Linked DNA regions of Oreochromis niloticus. The protein of the gene in region 1 interacts with the protein of each later gene in a biochemical or structural test. Links are inferred from orthologs where the notes say so. Each region holds a gene or a part of one and is shown on either strand. Other genes may lie near its edges.

Evidence for each region.
Region 2: the proteins of parp1 (region 1) and pcna form a complex in vitro, tested with the Homo sapiens proteins (3 studies listed by BioGRID). The link is inferred for Oreochromis niloticus from reciprocal best matches to the Homo sapiens genes PARP1 and PCNA.
Region 3: the proteins of parp1 (region 1) and hmga1a form a complex in vitro, tested with the Homo sapiens proteins (2 studies listed by BioGRID, with this or other methods). The link is inferred for Oreochromis niloticus from reciprocal best matches to the Homo sapiens genes PARP1 and HMGA1.
Region 4: the proteins of parp1 (region 1) and rela form a complex in vitro, tested with the Homo sapiens proteins (2 studies listed by BioGRID). The link is inferred for Oreochromis niloticus from reciprocal best matches to the Homo sapiens genes PARP1 and RELA.

The regions. Positions count from the first base shown.
Region 1 is NC_031980.2:10,088,286-10,096,016, forward strand, and holds the start of parp1 (poly [ADP-ribose] polymerase 1), read left to right. Parts: upstream 1-4,723; 5' UTR 4,724-4,866; coding exon 4,867-4,989; intron 4,990-6,120; coding exon 6,121-6,283; intron 6,284-6,836; coding exon 6,837-6,952; intron 6,953-7,065; coding exon 7,066-7,280; intron 7,281-7,286; exon of another isoform or gene 7,287-7,335; coding exon of another isoform or gene 7,336-7,731. Other genes in the region: si:dkey-206f10.1 (adenylate cyclase type 8), read left to right, coding at 1-192; adenosine receptor A1, read right to left, coding at 7,336-7,731. UniProt on the Homo sapiens protein: Poly-ADP-ribosyltransferase that mediates poly-ADP-ribosylation of proteins and plays a key role in DNA repair.
Region 2 is NC_031977.2:25,564,705-25,572,679, forward strand, and holds the start of pcna (proliferating cell nuclear antigen), read left to right. Parts: upstream 1-4,957; 5' UTR 4,958-5,129; coding exon 5,130-5,350; intron 5,351-6,275; coding exon 6,276-6,373; intron 6,374-6,462; coding exon 6,463-6,530; intron 6,531-6,618; coding exon 6,619-6,813; intron 6,814-7,388; coding exon 7,389-7,512; intron 7,513-7,608; coding exon 7,609-7,685; 3' UTR 7,686-7,975. Other genes in the region: zgc:152830 (putative aminopeptidase W07G4.4), read left to right, coding at 1,126-1,183, 3,241-3,422, 3,516-3,650. UniProt on the Homo sapiens protein: Auxiliary protein of DNA polymerase delta and epsilon, is involved in the control of eukaryotic DNA replication by increasing the polymerase's processibility during elongation of the leading strand.
Region 3 is NC_031984.2:12,115,778-12,123,363, reverse strand, and holds the start of hmga1a (high mobility group AT-hook 1a), read right to left. Parts: upstream 3,015-7,586; 5' UTR 2,862-3,014; intron 2,771-2,861; exon of another isoform or gene 2,601-2,770; intron 2,537-2,600; exon of another isoform or gene 2,142-2,536; intron 1,837-2,141; 5' UTR 1,817-1,836; coding exon 1,718-1,816; intron 750-1,717; coding exon 669-749; intron 1-668. UniProt on the Homo sapiens protein: HMG-I/Y bind preferentially to the minor groove of A+T rich regions in double-stranded DNA. It is suggested that these proteins could function in nucleosome phasing and in the 3'-end processing of mRNA transcripts.
Region 4 is NC_031967.2:4,864,939-4,872,709, reverse strand, and holds the start of rela (transcription factor p65), read right to left. Parts: upstream 3,010-7,771; 5' UTR 2,808-3,009; coding exon 2,801-2,807; intron 1,047-2,800; coding exon 1,011-1,046; intron 841-1,010; coding exon 707-840; intron 1-706. Other genes in the region: serine/threonine-protein phosphatase PP1-beta catalytic subunit, read left to right, coding at 4,837-4,888. UniProt on the Homo sapiens protein: NF-kappa-B is a pleiotropic transcription factor present in almost all cell types and is the endpoint of a series of signal transduction events that are initiated by a vast array of stimuli related to many biological processes such as inflammation, immunity, differentiation, cell growth, tumorigenesis and apoptosis.

The DNA.
Region 1 (7,731 bases):
CGCACCTACTTCATCAGGACCGTGCGCGGTAAGATGGCCAACGATGGGACAGATGGCCGCCTGGCAGGGCAGACAGGAGGACGCATGACGCTGGCAGAGGTGGTGTTCAGTCTCGTCCAGGCCAGACACAAGGAGAAGATGAGAGAAGGCAACAGGAGGTTCAATCGGACTCCCTCCAGACTGCAGCGCTGAGGGGACTGTCAGGGTCAAATGGCTGCACGTAGGCCAGGACACACTGGAGCCATATTCCTTTAATGCTTTGCCATAACTGAATTAGCTTCACAGACAAAATACTGAGCTACCTGTGGCAGGAGCCCAATCCTGTTTAAGCCTTGTTTCTTCCAAGACTGCATCATACCCATCTTTTTTGGCATCTCAAGAAAATTTTGGACAAGTTAATAGGAATTTATGGGAAATCATCCATGCTCATATTTCTATTTCTTGACTTCTGGACCAAAACATTCATCTTGCATGACACACCGAGTGGTATGTGGTCTGAACTTTAGTTGGTTAGGAGCTAACTGAGCTATCTAATCAAAGTTCTGGCCTCTTACGTTTCACAAGTATGTTGTAAGCAGTGCAAAGTGCTTTTTCATCACTATTATTGCCATATCTATACACTATAAGCACTGATTTGAAGGTTGTTTTGTAAAAAGAAAAAGAAAGAAAGAAAAAATCAACATGTCTTTATGTTTGCTGGGATAACACATCAGCAAGACTCCAGACCTCCAAGCAAAACACTACCTCTTAGTACAAATTCTCCTAGACTACAAATGGCCAATATAGAATGATGTTTGTTTGTTTGTTTGTTTGTTTGTTTGTTTGTTTGTTTGTTTGTTTGTTTGTATTATCTTAATTAGTACATTTATGTTGTGAAGTCAAGCATTATTTCTTCTTTATATCCAATAATTTCAAATATGTTAAAGAGATTTTGGTCACTATAATTCACTCATGCAACATAATCCAAAAAGAAAAAAATCCCTTTATTTATAAAGTGATTGCTGCTCGGTTTACTTTTGTAAATACTGTATTTGCATAGTTTCCACTGAGCCAGTATTTCTTGTTTTCTATCTTGTCAGAGTCAGTGTTGTTCTGGATTTATGAGATTCAGAAGATGAACACTGAAACAGTTTTAATGCCAAAAACACCTTACATATCACTGTATTCCTCTTACTGTCATGGTAAAAAGGAAAGCACAACCTCTGTCAGTACTAAGGTTCTTTGTGTTAGGACCTAAAAAAAATCATTTCATCCTTACAAGATCTTAAATGCATTGAAATACAACCTCAGATGAATAACACCACATGTAGAAGCAATGTGTGAAAGACTAGGTACACTAAGTCCACCTCCATAGCTTGTAGAACCACATTTAGCAGCAATAACTTGATGTAAATGTTTTCTGTAAAACTTTATCTATGTGAAGGTCCTCAGTCATCCAGGTCATGGTAATCCAAGGGGCTTGGAAAGAAAAGCGAGTGGACTCCTTTAAGTTTCACCTCTCATCCGTGAAGCTTCTTCATTTCTACGATCAACTGGTGGAGAGTCCCATATTTAGGCCCTAATAAACTGGCCAGCCAGCCTTTGTAATATTGTTTGCAGGCAATCATTTATGCACAGCTCTCTTTCAGTATTTCAGTCAGTTAAGGTCTGGTCTTTGACCAGGCCATTGCAACACCTTGATTCTGTTCTTTTTCAACCATTCTGTTGTAGATTTGTTTCTGTGCTTGGGATCATTTTCCTGTTCAATGACTCAATTACAATTTTTCCCATGTGACTCTAGAATACTTAGGAATACATAGGAATGACTGCAAGGTCCTGTTGCTGCAAAACAAGCCCAAAGTATTACAATTCCACCACCGTGCTTGAGAGCTAGTATGAGGTGCATGTGCTGATATGCTATGTTTTCACCAAATATGATGCTGTGCATTGTAGCAAAAGATATTATAATAGTGAGATATATAATATAATAGTGAGAATAAGCTTTCTCACTATAGAATGATGGACATCAAATTGTTTGGAAGTTTCTTTATAAACCTTCCCAGACTGATAGGCAGCCTTTGCTTTACTCCTTGTCATTGTGTTAACACACAACTGAATGCAGCAGACCATCAAACTGCCAAAAGTTCTACTTCTATATAGGTGCTCATACTCACTGACAATCAATTAATCAAGTGCATTTAATTAGCAAGACCTGTCTGCTACTTACTCTGTTAATTCCTATGGAAACAGTAAGAGTGCACTTAGTTTTTCACACTCTGCTTCTGCACTTTGGCTTAGTTTTTGTGGACGACACAGTGTAATATGTCATATGTTGATGTTATTTTGTTGTTCAACTGAAGTTTCGGTCCTAACTAAGAACCAGAGTGATTATGTCCAGATATGTAAAATGGTGTACTTTCTTTTTTCTTTTCTTTTTTCTATTTACCTTGATCATTTATTAAAATCAAACAAATCGTGATGTAGGAATGTTTTACATTGCAGGTCTGATTCAAACTGACACAAATTCACGTCAGTCTTTATTTTGTTTGTCTTTTAACTTCAAATATTAATGTTAAGCTCCTCTATGGGACTTTGTGCAGTTTTTAAATAGATAACAAAGACATGTTTAATTATTGCTACAGTATAGAAATGTTCACAGCGAATAGTACGTCTGTATCAGCAAAACTTTTTACTTCATTTTTTTAATATAATTTTTACAAAAACATTCAAACCAGTCCAGTTTCTACTAATAAAATCAATTATTACCATAAAGCTGGGTGCTTTTAATTTTTTAACTCTGTATTATTAATTATTAATGACACGATACTCTTATTAAACTCTTTTTTTGAAGGTGTATTCTTCTTGGAGGTGTGTCTTCCTTTCTTGAGAGTCACGACGATTGCTCTTGACTCCATTAGTTCTGTCTGCAGCCAGCGCGGGTCTTCTGCAGCCGGCTCACTGATGCTCTATTTTGAAAGATGGTTCACCCGGAAGGTTTACAGAAAGCTCGAAAAGAATAAACATAATCTCTACAGAAGTTAGCTCATCTACAGTAGTGTCTAATACTCCTTTCCTAGACATAAACAAAGGTTTCCTGACAAACACTGTAGACTGTAATCACATACTGGTTTATTTTCCATTACATTTTTCAATTAAAGTTCTGTAATAATTACAATTACAATTACAATTACAATCTTTATTTATAAAGCACTTTTCATACAAACTGTAGCACAAAGTGCTTTACATGGTTAAAAGCAGCCCACCCCACCCTCCCACTCATTCCCCGCACTGTCATTAACAGAAGCGGTCATGATACACACATCCCCCCCCCACACACACACACACATACACACACACACACCTAAAGAGTAAAATTGGGCTGGGTACGTATTAGCCAAGTGAGGAAACACTATCACAGGGAGCTGTCTGCACCGGGAGCCGGTCACAGACCGTAGCCTCCAGGCTGGGCACACAGCAGGAGGGAGGCAAAGAAGCCCCCCAGCCAGGTTCAGAGGACCCACAGGGCCCCAGCAGCCACGGTCGATCACAGCCCCGGTGCAGAGAACCCCCCTCCGAGGAAACACTGGAGATATGACCTAATAAGAATATAAACAGGATAAAAAGATAAAATAAATAAGAGTGGGATATAATATAAATATAAGTATAAACAGAGTAAGAAGATAAAAAATGAATAAGAATACAATCAATAGGTATTAGGTAAAACTAAATGAATAATATAAATAGAATAACAGGATAGAATAAATAAGCATTAAATAAATAAGCGTTAGTTAAAAGCTAAATTAAAATATCATCTCTCTGAATGCTGTTTCACTGTTGTCACAGGACAGAAATATATTTATTTTCCTATTTTTGTCTAAAATTAATCAAATATAAATATATGGTCTATAAAAAGCCTTTATAAAAGCCTTAAGCATAACAGTAATATAATCATATAATCATAATAATCATATAATAAACATAATAATACAATATATTAATCATAATAATGTTAATAGTCACAGTGTTTTTCATGTATCTGTTGGATTTTGTATAGTACTGAAGAGAATTTATGTGTTTCTTAAGTCAAGATGCAAATCTAAGCAGAGCTGTAAAGGTTTTGTTGTTGTTGTTGTTTTGTTGTTGCTGTTGTCTTTATTTTTACACAATTCAGTTGCATATTTTAGTAATTTAATGTTTAAGGTATGTGTTAATGGATTTTGTGTAATTTTGATAAAGTTTTGAATTATTTTCCTTTAGATCTTAATTCAGTTCTGGTCTTTAGTGTAGGTAGGTACTTTATTAATGCCAAAAGGGACATTACTGTAGGATAAAGGATTTAAAAAATGCATGGAAACAATGAAAACATCATTGTACCACAGTACACAGGTGCGGTACCACAGGTCCGGAGTAAAGGCCTTAATGTGACACAGGGCAAACATTTTGTATGCATACACAGTGATAAAAAAAGAAATGATATAGCCTCTTTATTACGGATATTATCTGCAGCACATGTAGCACACTATGCATCACAGGCTCTACTCCAGAGGCTAAACTCCAAATTTCCATGTCTTTAAATCCTTAAAATCTCACTTTAAGACATATGGATATTCAGCATACATGTCACCTTCACTCGCTCATATCTCACTCAGGAAGAATGAGATTGAGATTGCGAGTTTAGAGCTGTAGTTTTCCCAGATGAGAGAGCCGCTGGTGCGGTGGGAAACAGAGACAGAGTGAGAACTCTCCACGTGACTCTTCTCTCTGCAGGCACGCGGGCTTCTCTCCGCCAGTGCGTTGATTGTTGCGGTTCCTCGTCACCCGAAGAAAGTTGTTCGGCTCGTGGTGAATTTGCGTAGTTCTGTTTTAGTATTAAGAAATAAATCAACTATGGCAGACTCACAAGAGGACAAGCTGTACAGGGTGGAATACGCCAAAAGTGGCCGCGCGTCGTGCAAAAAATGCAAAGAAAACATAGCTAAAGACTCGCTGAGGATGGCTATCATGGTGCAGGTAAGGTGGCGACGTGTGGAGGCAAAGCTGCTCCGTTAACTAGCTTGCTATCTGGGTGCTGCTATCTGCGTAAAGCATGCGGGCTGTTGTACGGGTGTAGTGGATGGGTAGGAGCAGACTGGAGAGTAGGAAAATATAGCTTATGGTGTGGTTTGAGTTGCGCCGAATCAGGCCCTCGTTAGCATTTAAATGGCTGACATTGTCTGTGCACTCCTGTCCATCACAAAGAGCCGCGGAGCCTTTTTGTCTCTGTCTGGCTATTATGCATCTTGCAGTTCATGAGCTAATTTAATTTATGCTTGAAGGCTGCAGATATTCAGAGTTTGTCTATCCCAGAAGACAAATAATAGGAAAAAAATCACAGCACACAGAAGCAGAAATACCACTGCGTGGAAACTGCTGCTGCCCCACAGAGAGGTAATCACTTAAAGAGTCGGAGAGCTGCTTATGTGGCTGCCTGTTTACTCATGGTTGATGGAACAGCTCCAGATTCTCAGGTCACTCAACTTTTCTCTCTAAAGACCTGTCACATTCAGTCTGTGTAATTCATACAAATCAGCAGAGTGTAAAGTACTTTTTGAGCACTTAATGCACCTTTTTTTTAAGAATGTAGGGGTCACACAGGGCTCTATTCTTGAGCCACTTTAGTTTACACCTTGTATAAAGTATGCCTTAGTAAAAGATTTTTTTTTTTAATCTTTGTATATGAACCTTAAAAAATGTGCTATGTCCTAAATATACAATATTTATTCAATTTTCATAGCTATACATGCTTTCTTTTTTGTTACCTGCCCAGGGACTGTCATTGCTAGAAAACAGCATGTTTACATCTTATTTTTTTTAATACTGATGTCCATAAAAAATGTCTCAAAGCCATGGGCTGTTTGTCAAAATTTTGCACAACCTGGATTTAACTTAAGAGTTAGTTCCAAAGTATCTTTGTGTCATGCAATAAATGGATTGAATGCCCTACACATAACATGGCATTGGTAAAGAAAAGAGATGATTAAATAAGTCTGGCAGGAAAATATTACCCTTCTCAGGCATCATATAACCATCGAGCTGGAAGAAGCAATTAGAGACACTTTACACTGTAAAATAAAACATCTGTGTTTGTTTTTTGTTCTCCAGTCTCCCATGTTTGATGGGAAGGTCCCCCACTGGCACCACTTCTCCTGCTTCTGGCAGCGAGCATCAGCTCAGTCCACCGCTGATATCGCTGGGTTTTCTGATCTCCGCTGGGATGACCAACAGAAGGTGAAAAAGGCCATTGAAAGCGGTGGCGCCGCAGGAGGTCAGTACTTAAGTTTTATTAGGCTGTGACCCCTCGTGGAAATGGTTGGTCGACTTAATTAATGTTATCTTAAGCTTCCTTTAGTTATTATAGGCAATCGAAGGAGTAACAGTGTTACTAAGCAGCAGTTAAACATTGCCTCATCAAAGAATCAATCAGTGCAGCAGCAAAGAAAAATCATAAAGTAATTTCATTCTTTAGTGTAAATGCCCTTATCCTGAGAGGATAACATAATTACCTGCTCAGTCACAAGAATTTATAGCAGTTGACTTTGGAAAGAAAATCAAACCCTGTATTATATATTTTAAATGGTTTCCTGATGACTAGACTATAGGTGAAGCTTTGGTAGGCTTATTTAGAGCTGAACACTGAGTCTGTCAGTCATTTGAATGAAAACAACTGACAGCCATTTCAATTGTAGTTGGTCTGACATAACTCAGATTTAACCTATACATATATCTATACATCTGTAGACTCATCATGATATATGTTTTATTACATATAACTGAACCAGCTATAAAAAGATATAAATGTTCAATTTTTGATCTTGTAGGGAAAGGTGACCAGAAGGGTGGCGCTAAAGGCGAGAAGACGCTGAATGACTTTGCTGTGGAATATGCCAAGTCAAACCGCAGCACATGCAAAGGCTGTGAGCAGAAAATAGAAAAGGTTTGGGACCGCTTTTATTGTCTGAAAACTGCTGTTTAAATGTAATTATTTAATTATCTGGTGGCTTAACTTTGTCATTTTCCCATAAATATTTGATCCATTTGAACCACCAGGATCAGATTCGTGTGTCCAAGAAAACTGTGGACCCCGAGAAGCCACAGCTGGGTCTTATTGACCGCTGGTACCACACGGCGTGTTTCGTGAGCCGCAGGGAGGAGCTGGTTTTCAAGCCCGAGTACAGCGCCGCTCAGCTGAAGGGATTCAATGCACTGCGGGCAGAGGACAAAGAAGAGCTCAAGAAGAGGCTCCCTGCTGTCAAATCTGAGGGGTGAGCCAAAATGATTTATTCGGTTTGAAGCCTGGGATTAAAGTTATGATCAGGTCTAGCGTTGATCCCCACTGTTGGTCTCATTTAAAGCCTCTCTGTCCACCACTGTCCTGCAGCACATAAAAATAGCTTTAAATGTGTCCCTGAAAGCCGTCATGGTGTAGGCATAAAGGAAAGGGTTGACAGCAGAGTTTGCGTGTGACAGGATGATGGCTGTGAGCAGAAGCTCAAGAGGTACATAGCAGCGTGGACAGAGAAGCAGGAAGCAGTTGATTATGTGAAGTGGGATCCAGCAGACCGTAAAGAGGAAAAGAACCAGAAAGAGAGAAGTAGCCGTCTTCATCTCTCGTCGCATGCTGGCCGCGGTCCTGATTTGTCCGTCACCTCTGCCGCTTTGCTCAGATGTGATGCGCCGCACTTGCCGCTTAACCGTGACAAAGATTTGGGCGTA
Region 2 (7,975 bases), on another chromosome or scaffold:
CAGATTGTTTCGAGTAATCTGAAGATGGAGCTTTTGGCTTACAGGGTTTCTTATACATACACTAGCCACTTTGGCAATGTTTAAAATGAGCATGCACTATTGTAACTCAATTTTTTTATCAATACAAAACAAAAAACAGTCTGAACACATTTCTCAAACCTAACCCACCCTACCCCTAGAAAACCAGATCAAGGATATGAATATAGTCAGACATTATTAACATATTTACTCAGTCATGTATAAAAATATCTTGTCATTCTGTCACATGCATTCAGTACACCAATACTGTTCTGTGTTAGTAATGACAGCTGCTTTTAACAAATTATATTAATGGTTGCCAGGTAACATAAAATTCCTCTAGTGTTGTATCTGATCTAATTTAATTCAATTCAGGTTTATTTATACAGTGCCAAATCACAAAAGCAGTCGCCTCAACATGCTTTATATTATGAGGTAAATAAGAGAGAAGAAAAACAACCCTCTGTGAGGAAGCACTTGACAACAGTTGGCTAAATGATGGGGACAGAAAATCCTTCCATGGAGAGAGAATGAGCCCTCTAAGCCAAGAGAAATAAGAAGGCAGTCATGTTCCCTTAGAGAGATATCTAATGGAGCCAACCCAAACAGTGAAATTAATGGAGATGGATGTGCTGTTTGTCCACATATTTTAGAAAACAAACCAAAACATACAACAGTGGTCAGGATCCTCTGCATCGGTCACACGATGATCAGCAGACCAATGACCACTATGTACAAGTTTAAACTGGACTACAGTTTGCCCAGTTGAGTCTGGAGTAGATTCTCCCAAATCAGTTTCCCAGTTTGTTTTTAAGATTTTCTAAACTAGTCAGGTGATGCATATTGACAAAAGCATGGATTTTACTCATAATCTCTTTGTAATCAATTTGGCATTTAGAAATCTGACCTGAATTTGTTGTTGTGGTACATAAAGGGTAACAGTCTGAATTCTGAACTAAATGAAACAAAGAATCTGTGACCCCTCCTTTATGATAGGAAAAAAAATAAGAGCACAGTAGGACTACTTTGAGTGTCCAGACATTCCAGTGTTTTAATCATCATTGTTGTATTATTGTACTAAGTTAAGTTTGGAACTTCTTGTTGTAGATCATCATGGATAACGGGCCGGCCCATCGCAGCGGGAACGCTGCTCAGTGGCAGAAAGGTGAGAAATATTTACAATTATAGATCTCCTTACCTAAGGCCTCTGCAGCTCTTTCAGCTGGAGCTGAATCCTTTTATTCACAGTTGAGTTAGTTCACCTGTTTTGCCAGGTGTACAAACCAAAACAGCCAAGACAACTTCACTGACAGAGGAAACGCCGAATAGTGATGCGCGAATCATGAACGAATCGTTCAATACTCGAGAATCACTTTACTGACTCGTGAATCATGATTCACAAGCGCAACTGACTCACTGACTCATCCCTGTTGCTGTTAGCAAACTAATTTCATTAGTAGAAATATATCTAGCTTATAAATCAAATTGTGAAGAAAAACACAACATCCAGTATCTTAACAAAAACATTTCTGCTCTGAACTGGAAGAAAAAACCCTGAGTAGAAGCTCACATCAAGACAATAGCTCCTCGGTTCACAGTAGTATCGCTCTGCTAACATGCTAACAGCACATTTGAGCTACTCACCCCCTCCCTTCCTGCGCTGAATCGTAGGGGAAGCAAATCACTCAGGACTCACTAACCCCCTCCCTCCTGTGCTGAATCGTAGTGTAAGCAAATCACTCAGGACTCACTAACCCCCTCCCTCCTGTGCTGAATCATAAAGCGCACGAATCACTCATGACTCGCTCACCCCCTCCCTCCTGTGCTGAATCATAAAGCGCGCGAATCACTCATGACTCGCTCACCCCCTCCCTCCTGTGCTGAATCATAGAGCGAGCGAATCACTCATGACTCGCTAACCCCCTCCCTCCTGTGCTGAATCATAGAGCGAACGAATCACTCACTCACTCACTCACTCACCCCCTCCCTCCTGGCTCGCAGCTACTTCTTCTTCTTCTTGGTTGGCAACCAATGTTAAGGCGCACTACCGCCCCCTGGCTCACAGCTCAGTGGACATTTAGATGAGAAAATATATATTTGACACATGTAAGGAAAATACTAATAAAATAAAAATAAACAAAATAAATGTTCCCTTTAGAAATTCTTTTGCTCTTTTTTGCTATATAAAATAGTTGTTTTCTTTAAGAATCACTCATCTTAGCAGTAGGATTTACATTAAAAGAGAAACAAATTAAGTTTGAGTGAAAATGTACATTTTTTGCACTCTGGTCAACTGACTCAGTGACTCAAATGACTCAAAAAACCTGATTCACTTTGGTGAGTGACTCATTAAAACTCGATTCAGTAAAAAGAATCAAATTTACCATCACTAACGCCGAATAACCAGTCCTTTAGTTATTTTAACTGTACAGATGATGCTATGAAGTACTCTGTTCTGTTAATTTAAATTGCAGCTAAAACCATTATTTGATGAATGGACTGCTTGATTGCTGCACATTTACTCAGATACTTTGATTAATTTGATTTTAATATGTTTTAAAAAAAAATGAATTATGTTCGCATCAAACTCTGTTAAGACATAACTTTAGTGCAGACTGTAGACTTTATAGGACCTGATTTAGGGTCTAATCATTAGAAAAATCTCCCCAGATCTTTACACAGACTGTCTAAAACAGGGCAGCCTTTCAAAGCATATTTATATATGAATTGAATCATGTGACCTCTTTACAGTCTATGTTTTCAACAGCTTTTAACAGGTTTTTTTTGGTGTAACTATTATTGGAGCAAATTATAATGACATAATCAGTGAGACCACTCCTGTTGGCCTAGCACAGTTTTGTAGTTTAGGCTTTCATAAAATTGCAGTACTACAGTTTTCCCAGCAGATGCTGCTATTGTAAGAATTGCAAATACTTGAAAAGAAGTAAAAGCACATTGCTTCATAAACCTCTTTCCACCAGTGCAGGGTCCTATCTTGTTCCTGTTTCATGCATTCAGCCCACACCACTATAAAACTGCTGATCTCATAGCTGGAACCACTGATGTTAGCTGAGGGGTTTCTGCAAGATGCCACTGATTCTGTTCGCTGTGACTTTCATCCTGTGAAATGACCCTACCTTCTCCTACACTAACACAATGTTGCCTTCAGTTGGCAGAACTCTGCCTTTGATTTACACTAATACGTGGCCCTCTCCCTTTCAGCCGGAGAGGTGCTGGGCGATTTGTTTGAGGTGTCTACTATCAGGCGCGAGGACTATGAGTTCCACAAGGGCCAGTCTGAGTATGAGGACATCCTGCAGTGCAACAACCTGCCGTCCTCTGCTACACCTAGAGGACATCAGACACCTGCAGCTTTCCTCATCATGGCTTCAGGACTCGACAAGGTGCTCGCACATTTTATTCATCTGCTATTCATGTGAAATGTGTGCACTCGTGTGGAATAACCTGTGTTGTTACCTTATGTGTGCCCACCGCAGCACGGTGTGGATTCTGAAGCCCCTCTGCCGTACTCCCACGTTGACATCGCCGGGTCCAGCGGTCCTTTCCCAGGTGTACCAACAGGAGCCCCAATCATCACCATGGCAACCAACTACATACTCTCTGATCTCTAAACGGAGAAATTTAGTCTCTGCACTTAAACCCTGCACAAATTTCTTTCCATCCAATTACAAAAGAAACACCTGCTACAGCACTTAAAAAATTAAAAATAATCTGTCCTGTTTGACATGAATGAATACCTCAGACTGCTTTTCTGTAAGACTGTTCGCTGCTTCATATCTGAATCGAGTGTCAAACCAGCCTGTCAAGTGGCCTGAACCAGTACATTCTCAGGGGTTAAATGGCCGTGCAAACGTAACATCCTTTTCTATGTGTGCCTGTATGTGTGCAACAGACTTGGGACGTGATTTGTGTAATTTGTGACACCATGTGCTTGTCAAACCAAGTACTTCATTAATAAAAAGGTTTTTGAGGTCTTTGTGTTCTCTCCACATAACTTGTTTTCTTACAAGGAGGAAGCCCCATTTTTATTGCCTTTGGACCAAGTTTAAAATAAAAAAGAAAGTGACTGATTTTTTTTTTTTTTAACAGGAAAATCCTAACTAATGTTCAAAATTGTTGCACTTGTAGTAAATATATTTTTAAAAAGACTAAATACATTTACCCAACTATTAAGCTTTGTAAAATTTTGAATATTTAGGTGATAGCTACAGTTAATTTAAACATTTAGCATGCAAAACATTCATATTACAGTGGTCATTTTATATGACAAATACATTTTGTGGTTTACAGAGCAAGTACTTTAAGGATGTGAAGATTAACTCCCACTTTGATTTAAATTCAATACTTTGTCACTGGAAAGAAGTCCAATTACAGATTTAATCTGTCTGATACTATAATATAAGAAAAAGAAGTTAAATCACAACAGTGTGTCTCAGTTTTGTTTTGTAGTAAAATAACTGCTACACTTTGGACTTAGATTTTAGGAAATAAATGTGTAGCTCATTGCCCAGATTGTCCTGTATATATAAAACAAAGTTATTTTGTTTGCTTTTTCTTTAGTTGAACAAGAACTTTTATGACATTTATTTATGTATTTCTTAATTACTTTGGTGTTGTGTGAATGGCTATGGGAAAGGTCTTTATCAGTAGTAAAAGCCTGTAAAACTTCTGAAAAAAATTACAAAACGTGATGCCCACATTTTCCAAAATTGTCCAATGGGCCAAATTTGAGTTTTTGCTCGGCCGATTCTGGTCCCCCGTGCCCTATGTTTGACACCCCTGCTGTACAGTGTTGTACAATATTCTGTATGATTTGTCCAGCTTACAAAATTGTCCTCTCCAACATGGCTGAAATAATCGTCTAGTCTTTTAAGCGGTTGTGGCGTCGACAAGGAAACGGAAATGACGCAATCGTGCCCCCGAATCATTAAAACCAGCGGTTAGCGCGCGCTTTCAGCTTAAACTCCGCCGTGCCGTGAGAGTGGTATTCACGTGCCGTGTCTGTGCTCGCCAGCAACAGAAAAACCTGAGCTCTCAGAGAAGCCTTTCTCATCTTTTCATCTGCGCAGACATAAAACTCCACAGCAACCATGTTCGAGGCTCGCCTGGTCCAGGGCTCCATCCTGAAGAAGGTGCTGGAGGCTCTGAAGGATCTGATCACAGAAGCCTGCTGGGACGTCAGCTCGTCCGGCATCTCCCTGCAGAGCATGGACTCCTCTCACGTCTCCCTGGTGCAGCTCACCCTGCGGCACGATGGCTTCGACTCGTACCGCTGCGATAGGAACCTCGCCATGGGAGTCAACCTGAGCAGGTGGAGTACACATACCAAACATTTAAAAAAAAATTGTTTATAGGTAGAAAATACTGTCTTAACACCGTTTGATGCCAGCCCGTTGCTGGTTCTTGATGGGGCTTAGCTAAGAGGAGTTTCTGCTGACTAATGTCCCCAGGTTGACAGGTTGAGTTGTCAAAGTTTATCGAGTGTAATAACACGAAAAAAATGGCTGCTTGGTTTGTGACGCGGTTACTATTTTTGAGTCTTACGATCGCTTTTAGCCTCTTTTAAGCGCGCTTTATTACATCTTCATGCAGCTTCTGATGCTGACAAAGAACAAGGCCATCTTGGCGGAGTTGCCCGGGCATGTCTGCCTCCTGAACTTAGTTAACTCTTTAGTGACCGCTCTGAAACGGCGCGCTTTGTATATTAGATGTGTTTAATGGGGCAAAGAAAGTAGTTCGGCTTCACATTCACCGTTTAAAGTTTAAATTACGTTTGGAGCGGTTTGAGAGAGTTCCGCTGATTTGTGATTGCGCGGTGACAGCGTTTTAGCGCCAAACTGTGAGCCGGGAGGGTTGGCGGGAATCATTGTTGAACCCGGGAAATACCACTTCCGTTCCTACGTCACTGCCTGTTTAGCTTGAGTCATTTGTGATGGATGTTTAGCTGTTTACAACGCTTCTTTTTAAATCAGCAAATTAGAGTGTTAATAATATTTATTTTAAACGGTCTTATTGTTTAGCCTGTTGTCGCTGCAGGTCCTTTTAAAACGAGAACAGACTGAATAATATTTTTAACTACTGACTACTTGTTGAAATTTTTAACTATCTTTTGCAGAAAGGATTTGATTTATTGTGTGAATTACGTGTTTTTATTAGTTATTTATTAATTTAGTTTTGTTGTATTTTATAATGTGAGAATAAAGTTTTCTGACTTATGTTTTACCTCTCTTATCCAGTATGTCAAAAATCTTGAAGTGTGCCGGAAATGAAGACATCATCACCCTCAGAGCAGAAGACAATGCAGACACGCTCGCTCTCGTCTTTGAGACTCTCAGTAAGTTTGAATTCTATGTTTATTCAGTAACATCAGCCTGACTGGCGGTGTCACAGTGGTGTATTTACTGCTTCTCTTCAATCTTGCAGACCAGGAGAAGGTGTCAGATTATGAGATGAAGCTGATGGACCTGGATGTGGAGCAGCTTGGTATTCCGGTAAGTCAGCTGTTACGTCCTCCATTTTTGTACGGCAGGGTTTTCCTCACACGCTTACTAACCTTTCCATGTCTGTCTGTCCCTCCAGGAGCAGGAGTACAGCTGTGTGGTGAAGATGCCCTCCGGGGAGTTCGCTCGCATCTGCCGTGACCTTTCACAGATCGGCGACGCCGTCATGATCTCCTGCGCCAAGGATGGAGTCAAGTTCTCCGCCTCAGGCGAGCTGGGCACAGGAAACATCAAGCTGTCCCAGACCAGCAATGTGGACAAAGAGGACGAGGCTGTGAGTATGAGAGCTCGGCATGTGTTGGCAGACATGATCAAGACGATTGCATAAAATTTACATGTGCAATAATTAAAATCTGATAGTTTGAATATGTGTTTTGTACTCCGTTTTAACTGGCACCTGATGTAATGTGCTATTACTGCCAGAAGGTGGCAGTAATGCACTCACAAGCTGTTTGCCAGCAAAAATGCAATAAAAAAGAAATACTGACTTATGACCGGATCAGTTCAGGTTTCTGATAGATACCAAGAAGTGACTTTGGCTGTTTGTACGGAGTACAGGTGGAGGCTGAAAGCTGCAGATGTTTCAGTGTCATTAACTAATGACTGTTTTTTCAAAGGCATTAATTAGTTACCAGCAGTTTTAAGACAAACTTCTTTTTTTCTTTTCTTTTTTTTTAATAAATCGAGTATTCTTAAATATTTGTTGACATCTTAGTGCTGAGACAGCAATTAAGGCCTTTACTTTAGAGCTCCTTATTTACTGTATGAGCTGGTGATCTGAGTGAGCGTGGCAGACTTGCTGTTGTGGCAGCACCTGTTAAGTTCTTGGCTCTTCCTTCCTGTGTTTAGGTTACGATTGAGATGAATGAACCCGTCCAGCTGATCTTTGCCCTCAACTACCTGAACTTCTTCACCAAGGCCACGCCGCTCTCCAAGACCGTCACCCTCAGCATGTCCGCTGATATCCCCCTGGGTACGTGCATCTGCTCTTCCCTTAAATGACTGCAGGATTCTTCGTTTGGTGTGTCGTGGCCCAGACTTACTGTTTGTTTTGTTTTTCTCCCTACAGTGGTGGAGTACAAGATTGCTGACATGGGGCACATCAAATACTACCTGGCACCGAAGATCGATGAGGAGGCTTCTTAAGATGTTTCTAACAGACCAAAAAGGGAGAATAGAGAAAAGCGAGACGACTGCGACTTGTCCCGAGTGATTGAAGCACTGAAGTGATCTCATGATGGTCGATCACTCTGCCCGAGGTTTCTGATCTGCTTTTCGCGGTGGAAGGTCGGCCTTTTATAAGCAGCCAGCTGTCAGCTGTATGAATGGTGCCATCTGTGTGATGCAGTGAAGCCTCAGAGCACCTGGCTCTGGTCCAGACATCCCCAGTGTAAATGTCAGCACTTGCTCGATCTAAATTAGAGTCGCTCTCTATT
Region 3 (7,586 bases), on another chromosome or scaffold:
TCGGCCCTCGCTGCTAAACCTATATCAAAACATGTATGCGCGACTTCCTCTCCCTCTGCCTTTCCCATACATAGCAGTGAAGACCGAGCGCAGGGAGAGCCGGAGGGTTGGGGCGGGGGAGAAAAATCAGTTGTTGCTATGGTAACGACAGGCAGAGAAGAACTAGGGCTGTGTGCTGGGTGGGGGCGGAGGGGTGCTTAGTGTCAGCTTGGAAACAGTCTTGCGGCCTCTGCACCTGCACCACACTTTGCATGACAAGCTGCAGGAAGCTGGAGGACAGGAAGTAGAGGGTGAGCATCACCAACAAAAAAAAAAAAGAAAAAGTGTGAGGCAGTAAACCAAGGTCTTTACAATGGGAAACCCTAGCCAAGCTATTTCTGACACCACAAGGGGGAAGCAGCCAGATTACAGCCAACAAATATATCTCAAGTAACAGCAGGACATCCTTTTACAAGGATGAGGTTAGCTACCGTTAAAATGTTCATCAACCAAAAGGAATCAGGGGTTTGGAGAAAAAGACAAAGCACTTGCAAGAAACAAATTTACAACAAATGCCACGCCGACTGCCCATCTTGGAATTGCAGCTATTCCGGATCAGGATGTGCGCTCGTTGCTGCTGAACTCACTGTCACTATGTGAAAACACGTCTGCAGACTGCATTGACTTACTTTGCCCTTGCCGGTTGTCTTGTTTTTGCTGCCCTTCGGCCGTCCTCTGGGCCTCTTTGGAGTAGGGGACCCACTTGGTTCCTGGCAATCACAATCAATACAAAGTTAGGGTAGTATACAACATCTGGACAATATTTTATCAACATAAGCTCTTAAAAATCTGGTTTATATTGATCAAGGTATATTGATCAAGGTTTTCAAATCAAATTATAGACATACAAAAAACAAAAAGCTCTCTCAGGTAAAGACATTGCAACTTATGTGCATTAAATGCTAAAAAGGTTGCCATGGTCCAGCAGATACAAGTTCACAAATAACAGATGTGTCATTAAGGGAAATATGCAACAGTAAGCACTTAGGGGATTACCGTCACATGCAAAAAAGCAAGGTACATTCAGCTCGAGGTGAGTTATCGTATTCATGTGTGGTTGTAAGCTTCGTCATGGCTGACGCGCCTCCTGTTGCATTTCTGCTGTGTTTACAACCGCAGCTCATAGCAACCGAGCAATTCAATAGTAAAAACACAGCTGGCTGAGTGACAGGTATATGAGCCACTGTGCGCTTCGACTCTGCTATGTCATCCATTACATGGAGAGCAGAGGTGGGTCGTGGGGGTTAAATCTGGTTTAAAGGCTTTAGGTTACAGGTTGCTTACAAACCAGTGAGACATGTGGCAAGTTTGTTGTTCTTCCCTTACAGTGATAAGGAAGGGGCAAATGGTCACAAGGGCATGCTGCAGCCATTTCAGGAGTCTTAATTTCATTGAGGGATATGCATGAGAAGCTCAGCTGCAATAATATCTACCTGAGCATCAGCTGCAGCAGACCTGAGTTAAAGGGTTTAAAAAAAAAAAAAAAAAATCTGCTCCCATCTTTTTAATAATATTAAATACATCCTTACTGTAATTTCTGGGATGCAATAATAATAATAATAATAATAATAATAATAATAATAATAATAATAATAATAATAATAATAATGATAATGATAATAATAATAAAACAGCACACTTTCTCCAATAAATAGAAGAACAGAATGGGACTACTTACGTCAGAGGTTTTTACCTGCGGCTGCTTACGGGGTCTTCCACGCCCTCTCTTCTCTGTGGCTTCCTTCTCTTTCGGTGAGACTGTCCCCTTGTCGCTCATGTTTGCGTAGCTTTTCAGACCTAAAGACATAAATCACACCGGTCACTCTTGCAGCAAGGGGAGGCGTCGAGTTCACACACAGAAAAATACACGGGCTATTAAACTCAGTGACCGCAACAGCAAACAAAAAAAAAGGGGGGGGACCGGCCTACCCACACACCGGTAACGCGTTTAACTCAATTAATCCGCGCTTATTTCCAGGTCTATTTCTGTCACAACCGTGCTCCATTACATAGCCGACGCTGCCACACAAACACTGGATTGGGATCAAACCGGCTTGCAGGGTACAGCCGGGACTCAGTAAGCGTTCGGAGGCCGAGCAAACCTGCAAAATACTACTGAACCCGGCGCTCCCCTGCCTCCACGACCATGTTTAGAGGCCCGTTTGCTGTAGTTGTTGTAGCCAACAATCGGGCCTGCGCATGAGACTCGCAGCATGTCTGCACGCCGGGGCGACGAAGAGATATCCCCCCCCCTCCTCCTCCGCCGCCGCCGCCGCCGACACACACATGCACATACACACAATGGCTAGTGTGTGCTCGTCTGGATTTGCAGGGTAAAGCCCTAGCCTGCATGGCGGCACCCATTTTTTGAGTGCTATAGAAAATGCAAGCAGAGCTCATTTGCGGGAACGAGAGCCCGGGCCGGAGCAACAAAAGACGGCTTCACATCTAAAGCATGCAGCGTCCTCTCGCCGGAGATCCCTCTCTGTAAAAATGCATTTAGGCGGTTGTAGCTTGCAAACTTTAGCTTGCCTTTCGACGTCTTTTTCTTGTGCACTCACCTTTATCGCTCGGTAGCAACCTCTGCTCTATATTTAAGACGAAATGTTTCCTTTAAGCCTAGCTGGTTGTACCCGGTTAAAAAGCCTCGCTCTGATCTATAGGCTACAGCTTTTATTCGTCAGACAACACACAGCCCGCCCCTTTAAAATCCCAGCTCATGCCGCTTTAAAAACAGTTATGAATTAAAATAAGAGCGGGTCAATATATATATACACATTTTTTAATGATTTATTTTTAAATAATAAAATAATACAAATTACCAGCAGGATGAAAAGTTTACTCCAACGACGTCCTATAAATAGCGCACGTGCTCGTCTTGTCTCCTACAGATAAAGGAAAAAGGCGCCAGCCAGGAGGAGTTTTGGGGCAATTTAAAGAGCCGCCCTCATGGGAGCTGGAACATTGGAGGGCGGAGATATAAGTGGGCCACCAACAGTACTACTAGCAGGCCAACCCCCCCCCGCCACCCACTTACGGATCCCTTTAATTCTCCAGGTTCAATCACAAAATATAAAAACATGTTTTTAAGTGGCGGGATATACTTTTAGGAACCAAGGAAAGAATGACTACTTACTGTATTTATATTGTCCCATACTACATTAACTTAACCAACACATACCACAGTCTCCACAGTAAAATGGTGAATGAACTATGACCTTCTCCAATGTAAACATAAGCTGCCTTTGAGCTCGGGAATGATTTACATCCTTTACGCAGGTAAAACACGACTCCAGTAATGCATTAAAATGAAAAGTTAAATATTTACTAAATGAATAACACAGTAATGCGTTTGTTTAACAACAAAATGAATATCATCATAATATAGTGGAAGAAAATGTACAAAATTGTCTCTGTATTGCAGAATATTACATAAAATAATTCAGTTCTGGTTTTAGATCTTAGGTACAGTACTACACTGATCTTCTATGTGTTTAAGGTTTGTAATATCAGTGTAATACATGTAAATAGTTCACCTGCATAAACCTCTGTGCAAATAACACTGTAAAACATGGGTGTGATGCTGTGATCCTGGTGCAGTTTCTTATGTTTCAGAAATGCTTCTATCTGTTGAGACGACATTTTACATAAATCACCTATTTGTTGTTAGAATATCTTTTTTAAATGAATTGATCCCAACCACCATCTACACCACTTACCATAGATACAGAAAATCTACACCCACAAGCTCTTTGTTGTATCATATTTAAATTTTAATTTATTGATCTCTTTATCTTTTTATATTTTCTTTTTAACTGAGTCCATTCTTTAGTCTTTCCAAGCTATTTCACCTTGTTATCTGTTTTTACTTTGTTGAGCTGAGTTTTTTATTAGCTAATTTCCATATTTTAAAATTTTAAAAAAAAGTAGTCTTAATTTTTCCTTCATCTTAAATGTTTAATGGTTAATAATATAGTATAGGGTTGTGTTTTGTGCTGTTTACCATGACAAAAACACCCCACTAAAAACGATTTTTAATTTTATTAAGCATTTGGGATTTATTTGTATTTTATTTTTTCTAAAAAAATTCCAACATTTGGATATTATTTTTAATATTTCACTGATGGCTTTATCTTAATGATAAAAAAAATATTAGCCACATTAAAAAAAAAGCACAAAATATTGCTTTTATGTTATTCACTCATTTTTCCTATGATATCACTGCAGCGTTGCGTTGTACCTGTTGAGAACAGGCAGTAGCTGTCGCTGTATTTCAGCAAACGTTAATCTGAGTACAAGACAACTCAGTTATCCCATCCTGACAATATGCCACCATAGAGGAGTTCCTTGAGTAAGCGCATGCAAGAGCCATAAAACACCCCTACTGCTACTGCTGGCTCTTTTATTCTTATAGTTAAATATGTCGACCTTTGATGTTGCTCCCGTGAAATGGACAAACGTCTGATGTTGATTGCATGGGTGTGAGAATGCGGATAAAAACAACCTAGGCTTCCAGTAGGTAGTATGCAAAGGTAGCCCACTTTCACACAAGGGGTTCTCCTGTAAATGAGCTACCCATGTGGAGTTGATGGGTCTGCTACTATCCAATTGAAAACAGATTTCTGAGATTGCAGTGGGACATGAAAGTGCTTGTAAGGGGACCTTTCGCCTTCTTCTGTGTGTATTCTACCTCTCTGTTTGTTAGGTCACAGCGGATCTCAAATAACTTACAGCAAACACACATATCAAATGACTCCAAAGGCTTTGTTATCAGCGGAGAGCACATGCATGTCAATACACTGTACATATATGACGAGGAGAGCGGGAGTTTGGTGAATAGGGCACTGGATAGAGCATGAATGGAGAGCGCTTTTCTCAATGAGTCCAATGTTCTGCTCAGCATGTGCTTGCCTTGCATGCCACCCCCTTCCCTCTCAATTTCTCAGTCTATTCACTTCCTTCGTATCTACTTCAGGCCCATCCCCCACAAATCTCTGGCATACCCACCCTTCAGTATGTGGATGGAGACAGGGAAATAGGTTCTCTCTCTCTCTCTCTCTCTCTCTCTCTCTCTCTCTCTCTCTCACACACACACACACACACACACACACACTCTCTCACTCTCTCTCTCTCTCTCTCTCTCTGCGCGCGTGTGCGTGTGTGTGTGTGTGTGAAGAATGCTGTCACTCTCACCACTGGCACCACCTGGAGACCAATTTAGGGAGTGGATATTGTGACTGATTAGTAATGGTGAAAAGCAAATGATTGCTTTACATTTAGCTGAGATGCAAAATAGTTGGATTTTAAAACTGGGGGGAAAAAAACCTAACAAAACAAAAAACCAAAACATGTGCGCCTTTGCAACTTTGGTTTTACTTTTGCCTGTAAAGACAAATTAAAAAGGCTTTTGGGTGTGATAGCATCAACCTGCCAGGTATCCTGTATGTCTTTGGCGCACCTTCTCTGACCCAATATATATCATGATAATTTAAACCCTTTTAAACATAAACATAAACCCTTAATAAACATAAACTGATATCTATCTATCTATCTATCTATCTATCTATCTATCTATCTATCTATCTATCTATCTATCTATCTATCTATCTATCTATCTATCTATCTGTCTATCTATCTATCTATCTATTCAGAGGAAATCTGTTTGTTAAGCCACTTAACGCTCACCTATAAATCATTAAATAAAAACATCATCTAACTCAAGGGATGAACTAGTGATGTTTCTAAAGATAACAGACAACTTAGCAAATAACCAATTTTAAATTGTATCTTGAGACACTTTATTACTAGCATCCTGTTGCAAATGCTAAAAATAACATTGTTAAAAATACCTGAAATAGCATTTTTACACCAACAAGGTGCTACTAGATAAACACCTGACGTATCGCAACATAAACCTCAAAGAAATTGAGGAAACTGCACAAGTAGAGGATAAAAGAAGTACCGGGTCTACAAAACTGTCTACAGCAGATGAACAGTATCCAAAAGTAATTTCCATAAGAAATAAGAAAAAAAATCCTGCAGAAAGGCTGTCAAGAGGTTATTCTTAAGGAAGGGAAATGGGAATCAACCAGCCTAAAAATTAGTAGTAACAGATCTCATGGAGTGATGAACCTAAGTTTGAAAAGTCTGATTCAAATAATCATCAATATTTACAGAGGAGGACAGGAGAGATGTACAGTGACTGCTTACAGCCATCGGTAAAACATGGTAGAGGCTCTGTCATGGTTTGCGCTGCACTTAAACCTGTGGTGTTTTACATCTTGTCAAAATTGGTAGAATTATAAATGTAGAAAAATGCCATTATATCTTTCATCCACCATCTAATAGAGCTTCCTTTTTCAGCATGACATTGATCCCAAACACACTGTCAATGCAGTAAAAGCATACCTGACTAGAAAAACATCCAGCTGAAGCCTATCAGTCATGGACTGATCTCCCCAGAGGCCTGAATTACTGAAGCAGTCTGGGATCATCTTGACAGAGAACAGAACAAAAGGCAGGCAACATCCAAAGAAGAGCTTTGAATGTCCTTCAGGAAGCTGAGAGAACTATGGCTGAAGACTGCTTAAAGAAATTACAAAAAGGCTTGTCAGGCTCCATTGAATGATAAAAGTGGTCATACCAAATATTGACTCTCGCACTCATACAAACTCTGTTTTTGCCTAATAAATTCTGATGTATTCCCATTTACGTTTGCATGTTTAAATGAAGTGCTGCACGTGTTTAATATTTTCCCCAAAGATATAAAAAATGAGGGGCACTTAAGACTTTGCACAACATTTTCTATTAATTAACTACGTTATGACGTACATCTGAAAAAAAGACCATGCAACAATTTCTGCAATGAGTTTATTCATTAAAAACTAGTATTTCCAGGCATTAATAAAACTTTATCTATCTATTTGGTTTATTTTATTTTATTTTATTTGCATGCATTCAGGGATTCCCTGGATAAATAAATAAATAGTCAGTGCAAAGCTGTAATAAGAATTCATCTTTCTACAAAACTATCATCTCAGCAAATCTAATTTGTTTCCTTCATTTGTTTTGTGGATTTTAAGGAATTAAACATCCATATTTCAGTGTCATCACATCGCATAAACGTGGAGCGTAAGTGTATCTGATGATCCCCAGAAGCCGGAATGACTAGAAGGAGAGCACAAAACAAACTTGGAGCCAGCTTGAATTTCAGCACTAATTGAATCTTGGAAGAGACAAACACTTCCACATCAGACGCCCTCTTCAGAGACGTCTGCTTGCTTGTGAACTCTGCAGCAGAGTTTGGGTAGACAGAATCCTATTGACCCTTGGAGGGTGGGGGTTGGGGGTCTTGGCCCACTTTGGCATGCTCACCCCTCCCCCACCCCATGTCCTCCTGCCCCCTCACCCCCTTTTTCTCCTATAGCTCATCTGTCTTCCCCTTCAGCGCGCTCTCTAGCTCATTCTAGCAATCCATTTTTAGGCGCTTTGTAAACCACAAGTGATCCAGCCAAACCAACTAACAGATGTGGACAAAACATCCTATT
Region 4 (7,771 bases), on another chromosome or scaffold:
TCTTCAGTTTGGGTTTATGAATTTGTACTAACAGATGCAACTTGCAAACCAAGCTTGTTAGCGTTAGCTGATAACATCACTCCATTCTTTCATAGTCCAGAATTAATTTTGCCGATATTGTAGGAAAAATGTTTTCTTCTGGAAATTACGTTTTCAATTGAAATGATCAACAAAATATATATATTATATATTTTTTTTACATGAAATGAGGGAAAGCAGAGAATTTCTACCAACAACCACCTATAAGCAGCTGCTTCTTATGCACACCTGTACATTCTGTTGTGATTTAACTAAACTTCTAATGTCTGATTATCCTTATCCTAGAAAAAGGATAGTATTTTATGAACAATATTGGATTTCTTGTATGAAAAGAGATGTAAGAAGTGTTGTTTTATTGAAATTCAAATGTATTTGTCCTTTTAAATCTAGCAGCTGGTGTAAAAAAATATTTTAGCTCCCTTTAATTGGGCTTGCTACATCCATCACACATATACAGTCTGTGTTCCTAACATTCAACAAGAAAAACAGATGTTTCAGCTGGAGAAAGCATTTTTTCAGCACTGACCTTCTCCACTATAAATGTACAGTTGACATACATGAGTCACTATGGAAACAGTTGCTGTGGCTGCATGCACCTAAATCTTCACCAATGTGTATATTATCTGTAACGTAAATGATATTTAATGAATCGAATGAACCAACACACCTTGATTGCTGGGTGGGTCTTAGTGGTGTCATTACTTTTTTCTCCGGGAATGCTGCCAGCAGACCGTCCCTCACACTTGTACCTAAATCTCATCCCCCTTTGCTTTGGCTGCTCGATAATCTCTATGTAGGGAGCTGTTGAGGAAAGCAAAGGCATTGTGTGCTCATTGTGAAATACTGCTTTACGTGTGTCAACACAGATACAGCCTCATCGATCGTCACTACACCCGAGGGTAGAAATGTTTACTCATGAAATCACTGCAGAGAACATCAGTAATTCTTTTTAAAAAGGAAAGTGCGCTTACCCTGGTTGAGCGGGGTAAGGCTCCATCCATATCCAGCTGTGATGAACAGAAACAAGAACGGAATTTAACCAACTTATTGAGAAAAACTGCAGGTTTTCCATCTACGACTTACACGAGGAAGCACACAGTGGTGGTGGAGATGACAAAAATAATAGAAAACAGATTTGTTGCATATTTGTGGTTTAGTCAGAGTTTGTCATTTGTGGTGAGGTCAGGGTGGAATTCTACAAGAGAGTGCAGCGTCCAACGGGGTCGAAGGACGCCGAGATACAAGGGCCTCCCAGCTAAATATAATCTCTGGTTGTCATAAACCACTTGCCTGCAAAGCTACCGAGAAGGAGACGAAGTGCAGAAAAAGGCAAACAATGACAGGCAGGGCTTTTAATATTGGTGTCAGGTTACCAGCTTTGTTGCTGGAAGCCTTTAGTGCAGGGAGCACTCCAGTTTCAGGCAATAAGTAAGGTGTGACACTGGATGAGTTGATCAAAGCTCCACCCATCAGCAGGCAGGACTGGTTCAGTTCAAAAGCTTGAGTAGAGTCCTTTCCATGCTGTAACATGTTTGCTTTCTAGCTTCAGCCCAAAGACATTATTCTTGCTTTTTAGGTTCTGATCATACCTAAAATGCCAGAATAATATTGAATGAAGAGGCTGCCTAAAGCCCCAAAGTCAAGACTAAAAATAACAAACAAACATTTTTAAAAAATGGATGACATAAGTCTGTAATGACTGCATTTTGACCACTTATGTGAAAGACAGTCTTTTCTACTTACTGAGTCTGGATGATGTGAAAGTGAAAGCACATACCCACAATGATCGAAAGATCATTAATGACTGAATTAAGAGCATCACACCTGAGGTCTTCGACACTGTTGCTAGAATCACTTTCATTTTTACTGACCGAACAAAGGGACATACTTTTTATGATGCTCAGTCAGATGATGGCTGTTTGTCGTGCCAATATCCACATCCAAGACAGAGATAAGTGACACTTATCAACAAACATAATCTATTTTAAGGGTTATAACATTTGCATAAAGTATGGCTGCACTCTAAACATAGGAAGTCAACAGAACTCCATTATAAAATGTCGTTTGTTTATGGTTTAGCCTAAAGGGAAAGGTATATATGGAATAAAATAGAAACGGGGGCGGCTGTGAAATCTTCACAGTATCTGCATACACGTGTTCTCCTGAACACAGAGCTTATTACCACAATTTCCTATCGGAACCGTTTTTGTCAATTAAAGCCGGTGTGGGCGGTTGCTAGCAGCGTCGCCCAATTAAATACGAGACTTTTTTATTGAAAAGAACGTTATACGGTGGTTTTAACCAGGCCGAATTTAAAATACACTATTCACTGTGACTGATAAGCTTTTGAGAGCGTGATTCACAAAGAGCATTTCCACTTACAAACAGAAAAACATTAAATGGCGAGACTTCCGAACGAAGTTTCAGTGGCTAGAAGGAAATCTCTCAAGTGGACAAACCCCACGGGCCTCTTGGCAGCGCGAGACCGTTTGGTTCGCTCCGCTCGTGCCAGTTGAGTTGTCCACACGCTGAGAAATTCATTCAGTTAAACATCAAGTTTCTCTCGGCTATCTCACATGTATGCGATAAACCAAAGTTAAGTCAAACTTCTGTCTGTACGTTAGTTTAGTATCCGGGAACAGACTCCTCCTGTTGGCGCAAAACCCAATGATAGCGGGGCTTTCCCTTGTGCGCAAAACAACTCCCTGTACAGTTTCACCTCCCGTGTCTGAGATGAGTAAATAAAAGCAGCTTCACTTACGGTCCATAGCTGTGTCCAAGTCCAGCTCACGCTCCTCGATATCCCCCGCTGTTTCTCAATAATTTGTATCTTGTTTAAAGCCAAAAAAGAGCAGGAAACACGGCACTACAGACTCCACGAAGTTCTTGACAGAGCCGCTCTGTCGCCTCCTTCGCTCCACCTACGTCTGTGTATGAGAGTGTACAGTTAGTAAAGCCGCAGGGATAGTTACGTTCATGCTCACGGGGTTTCCGGTAAGTAACATCTATTTGGGGAGCGATGTGTTGCAACTTTCTGTTTATTTTTTGTGCAACACACCTGTCGCCAAGTTGCAGCAACTGCACAGTACGTGCTTTGTTCTCTTCATTGCGATGTCTTTTTCTCACATAGTAGGCATTGTTTTTGTGCCACGTTTATTAGAAATGCAGAATCTGAAATTGGATAACACCTTTTATTTACTACGTAGGCAGCTATTAGCTTTATCACTAAATGTTAAATAAATGAATCAAATTTGTAGTGAACTCACAAAATCAAAACATGGCAGATTTTTTTTTTCGGGGGGTAATTTCCAAGATAACGGAAATAGCTGTGAAGAGAACAATAGCTTGGTTTATTTTTTATTTTTAAAGCATACATTACTGCCTTTACCAAGTCCAAAATTATCAATAGTTTGTTTTCATGGTTTTCACGCTTTTGTTGTGCCATAATAATAATTACTATAATCACATTAGTATAGCAGAACTGTGGTGTAATAGGAGTAGTGTATGCCAATTGTGCGTTACTTATTTTAAGACTTTGGTCTCTTTGCAAGGGACAAGCAATTGCTCATAAGAAACTACATGCTCTTATTTTGAAGAGGGAAAATTGCGTCGTTTCCGGCGCTGTGGCTAGCTTGATCCAGTTGCAGACCTCTGCCTTCTCTCTGCAGTGCAACTTGCCACCACCCACTCAAAACAGTGCGGAAATACCCAGTGACGCACTTGAAAGAAACTGAAAAATAAGTGAGTGGGAGAGGCAATAACATAACTCTTGGCTTGAGTCATAACCTGGAAGAGCCTTAAGATTAAGATCCAACTCACTTTTTTTCCTGTCTGTCGGTTCTCGGCCTCTTCTCTCTGTAAACAGACACAACATACAGATCTCAAGTTTACCAGCTGCTGTGTTTTTCTGGCCTGTCCTTCACACACGGTCTTACGTTACAAGTTTCTGGTCTGCTGGTTGCACTAGAAATCAGTGTCTACTTAATACAGTGTGATAATAGTGATAGGGCTTCAAACTCTTTTTTTCTTTCTTTTTTTAATCAACGATTATTTCACCATGTTGTTTTAGTCCAGTTGAAGACAAAGTAACGTGAATAAAGGACTAATTTTGCTCTCAGAATCAGTAAACAATATTTATATATCAAAACCATTACTCTTAAAGTGTTGACATATCCTGACCAGAAGGGGGCGCTCGAGGTGAATAAATCAGGGCCTTTAGGACACCTGTCCTTTGATAGAATGTGGTGAAAATGAAAACTTATCCAGATTTTCTTAGGGTAAACGATGTTTCATTATAAATAGAGTATATCTAATGGTAATTTTTGCATCGTTATTATTATGATTGTTGCTGTAAGAAGCCCTGGATAAGCTGACGCATTCAACGCAATCGAAAATCACAGGTAAAAAGCAAGAAAATGCAGTGAATATGTAATTGAGCATCTGTTTGTTTGGTTACCCTTATTTTCTAATACAAATACATTTTTGTACCCTTATATCACGATGTTTATGGTTGAGCCATACTTTATATAGCATTAGCTGAATTTGAGGCTTGAATTAGAAAATGAGGAGGAAAAAAAGTACGTGAAACTTATGAATATGATTACTATGTTTTCAAATTAAAAAAAACTGTCCACTGTTCTCCTTTCTTCTCTAGAAACTAAAATATCCGAGGCGTAGTTGAATGAGGCGTAATTGCCCTAAATGGGAGGCCGCGAAAGGGAGGCGGTTTCTGTTCGTTGAGGCGGTGTCTGCTCTGCCTGCTTCAGACTGCGGCGGGCAGAGCTGTTCGTTACAGAAATGGCGGAGGGGGAGTTGGACGTCGACTCGCTGATTTCCAGGCTTTTAGAGGGTGAGTTCACAACCAACTTTTATTTATGTATTCTTGTTTTGCCCAGTGTTAGCCCCTAATACTTATTTAGGTTTCATTTTTGACAAGAAAGGCCCGCTTTACGTGTTAGCGTTGCCCGGTTCTGGAGTGAGCAGGACTGGTCCTCACTGTCGTTAACAACAGGCACACCTTTTTATTCAGCAGCCGTCTTTCCTTCACGGCTCTTTTTAGATTAATTTGTAATTGATGTGGATACAGCTATGATCGAGCTTTTTTGTACACTGCATTTTGAAGGTTTGGGTGATTGAGTGGTAAGAAAGTTATTGCTAGTGGGCTGTTTGTGCTTCGATGGCTCCAGTATGGAAGAGAATGTCAGACCTATCTTACTATCCATCTTAGTCTAACTAGCTAATATTATAGTAATTAAGTGCTGTCTTACTAATGTCACAGCATCAATTTTATTTGGTGCATTTCTTTGGAATGCACCAAATAAAATACTTGGCAAGTTGTTTCTACTGTCTTTCAACCTATTATAGTCTCTGGTCCTTTACAAAAGCTCTGTTCAAAATACGCTGTGGAGGGCGATAGCTTCAGGGGCAAATGCTCAGCAAAAGTTGACATTTCCTTAAAAATAAAGTTTAGATTGACGATTGAGTGTAGCCGAAAGTGTTCCAACAGCTGCCTGATCCACGAGGAAGTAAAATCTTGCCTCTGATTTCTAAAAATTGGGTTTGTCTTTACTTCTAAGAAAAATTCAAAATATTTAAATGGGATTTGGCTTAAGGGTTTCTGAGCTGAAGACTGCAGCTCTGTGTTGTTTTCTGGCGCATATTGCTAAATGGCGATGTTTACACAAGCCACAGGCTTCAGTAGTATTCCCATTAAAACATACTTGTAGGAGTTCAAAACCTAAACCAAACTTTTAGCTCTACTACTCCGTGTGTTTTCTTATTCCATGAACGAGTGCATATAGTTTGTTCAGCTGGCCTTTTGATCATAAAGAACACACATTTTGTCAGCAGTACTATATTTAATAAGAATCTTTTCGATACTAGCTGTGGTTCAACTTTATCCAGAGAGACACTTGTTAATTCTGTATTCTGTGGTAGCTTATATGCATGTGGGCTGCTGAGCTGTTGTGTAAAAGTGTTTTTGCCCCTACTCCATTGTTATGTGTTGGCTAGCAGCAGGGGATGATTTTCTTAGCAGTGCTAAATGAGGGATTCTGACAGACAGAGGAGTCGATGTAGATGATAATTTCTTGAAAACAGATTATAAGCAGAGAGATTATATCTCTCTGAGTCAGTGGTGAACAAGCATTCATGCCAGATCATCTCATGGAAAGCAACTTCTGCTAATGATTGAACCCAATGTAGATGTGCAGTGCATGTCAGTATAACTTAATCATCTGGACTGACAGGAGCAGTGACATAATGGTGCTTGTTTTCTCTTTGTGCGTGATCTGTAGAGTGTAACAGTACTGTGCCTGCAAGAATTGACTATAGTATGCTGGCTTCATGTTTAGAAGTTAACTTCATTGCAGGAAATTGGAGGGATCTGGCCCTAAAAGCTTCCAGATGTTAGCCCTCAATGTATCCAACTATCCATCTCCTTTCATTCACTTTTCATCTGCAACCATTTGAAAATGTCTGGCTTTTTTGTTGGTGTGACCATATTATCAGAGGGGCATCATAAGCTGTACTGAAGGCTTTTAGTTCTGACTCATAACCAAAACTGGATGTATACGAAACCAGTTATCTGGTGATGGGTCACAAATACTCGGTGATTAGTAATAGATGGGCTGGGTGCATTTGAAATGTCTCCCAGTATTGCTGCAATGTCTAGATTTTGTTGAGCATACTCATTTCAGTTTGGATGGTGTGATGTTTTTGTAATCAGATTATCTGACATTGTTTCTGTGGGCTTTTTTAAAACAAAAGGTTTTAAATCTTATTAAAATAGGGCTCCAAGTAAACCCAATGTTCCTGCATTTAAATTACTTGTTTACTCCAAAATGGTGTTTCCCAGAAATGAATTTACTTCTGTAGGTTACTTTTGTATACTAATGCCTGTCTAAGAATAATTTGGGACTCCTTTTAGCAATTTTTTTTTTTTTTTTTTTTTTTTTTTTTTTTAAATTTCAAAGCCAGTCTTTATTTTCTTATCCATGGCCAATCCAGTTGCTATAATTCTGAGACTGCAGTTGCTGCTAAGCAGTTTCTGCACCAGCAGGCTGATGTGATCTTTGCAGCAACCCTCAATGTCACTGAGCTGCTTCCCCAGAGAGTCTTTCGTCCTGTGATTGGACAGACTCAACACCACCACTGTGGACTGCATCTAGCAACAGTAGCCTTCGTCTATTCTGGAAGTCCTCTGTGAGCTTCTCCAGAATCTGTGGCAGGTGGAGGTGTGGTTTATATGCTGTTATGCTGAACACCACAGAGCAGAATGAGGAATACTGTCGCTTACTGTTGATCTGGATAGTCGAATTGTCTGCTGTATGATGTCCTAACTGGGTAGACAGCTGAATATGAATAATGGTCACAAACGTTGTGTATTCCTATTATTTAGATATATAGACACAATCATATGCATCAACCTGCTCTCATCGTAAATCCCGTTTAGTTCTGTGGGAAAAACTGTAAAAGGTATTCGATTTTCTGTTATGGATTGTAAAGAAAACCTTTACATAGTGAATTTTAAGTAATTGGCTTTCATAAAAATGACCAAACACTTGGTTAAGTAATGGTTAAGCACCTTTAAAGAAGAAGAAAATGTGTATTCAGATTCATGCGAGCATTCACTTTTCTGTCCTTGATATCAATCATATTTTTTGCTTTACTACAAGCAAACGTTCAAGTGCTTTGTAGCAGGCCACACGTAATTACAGCAGTGACAAGTATA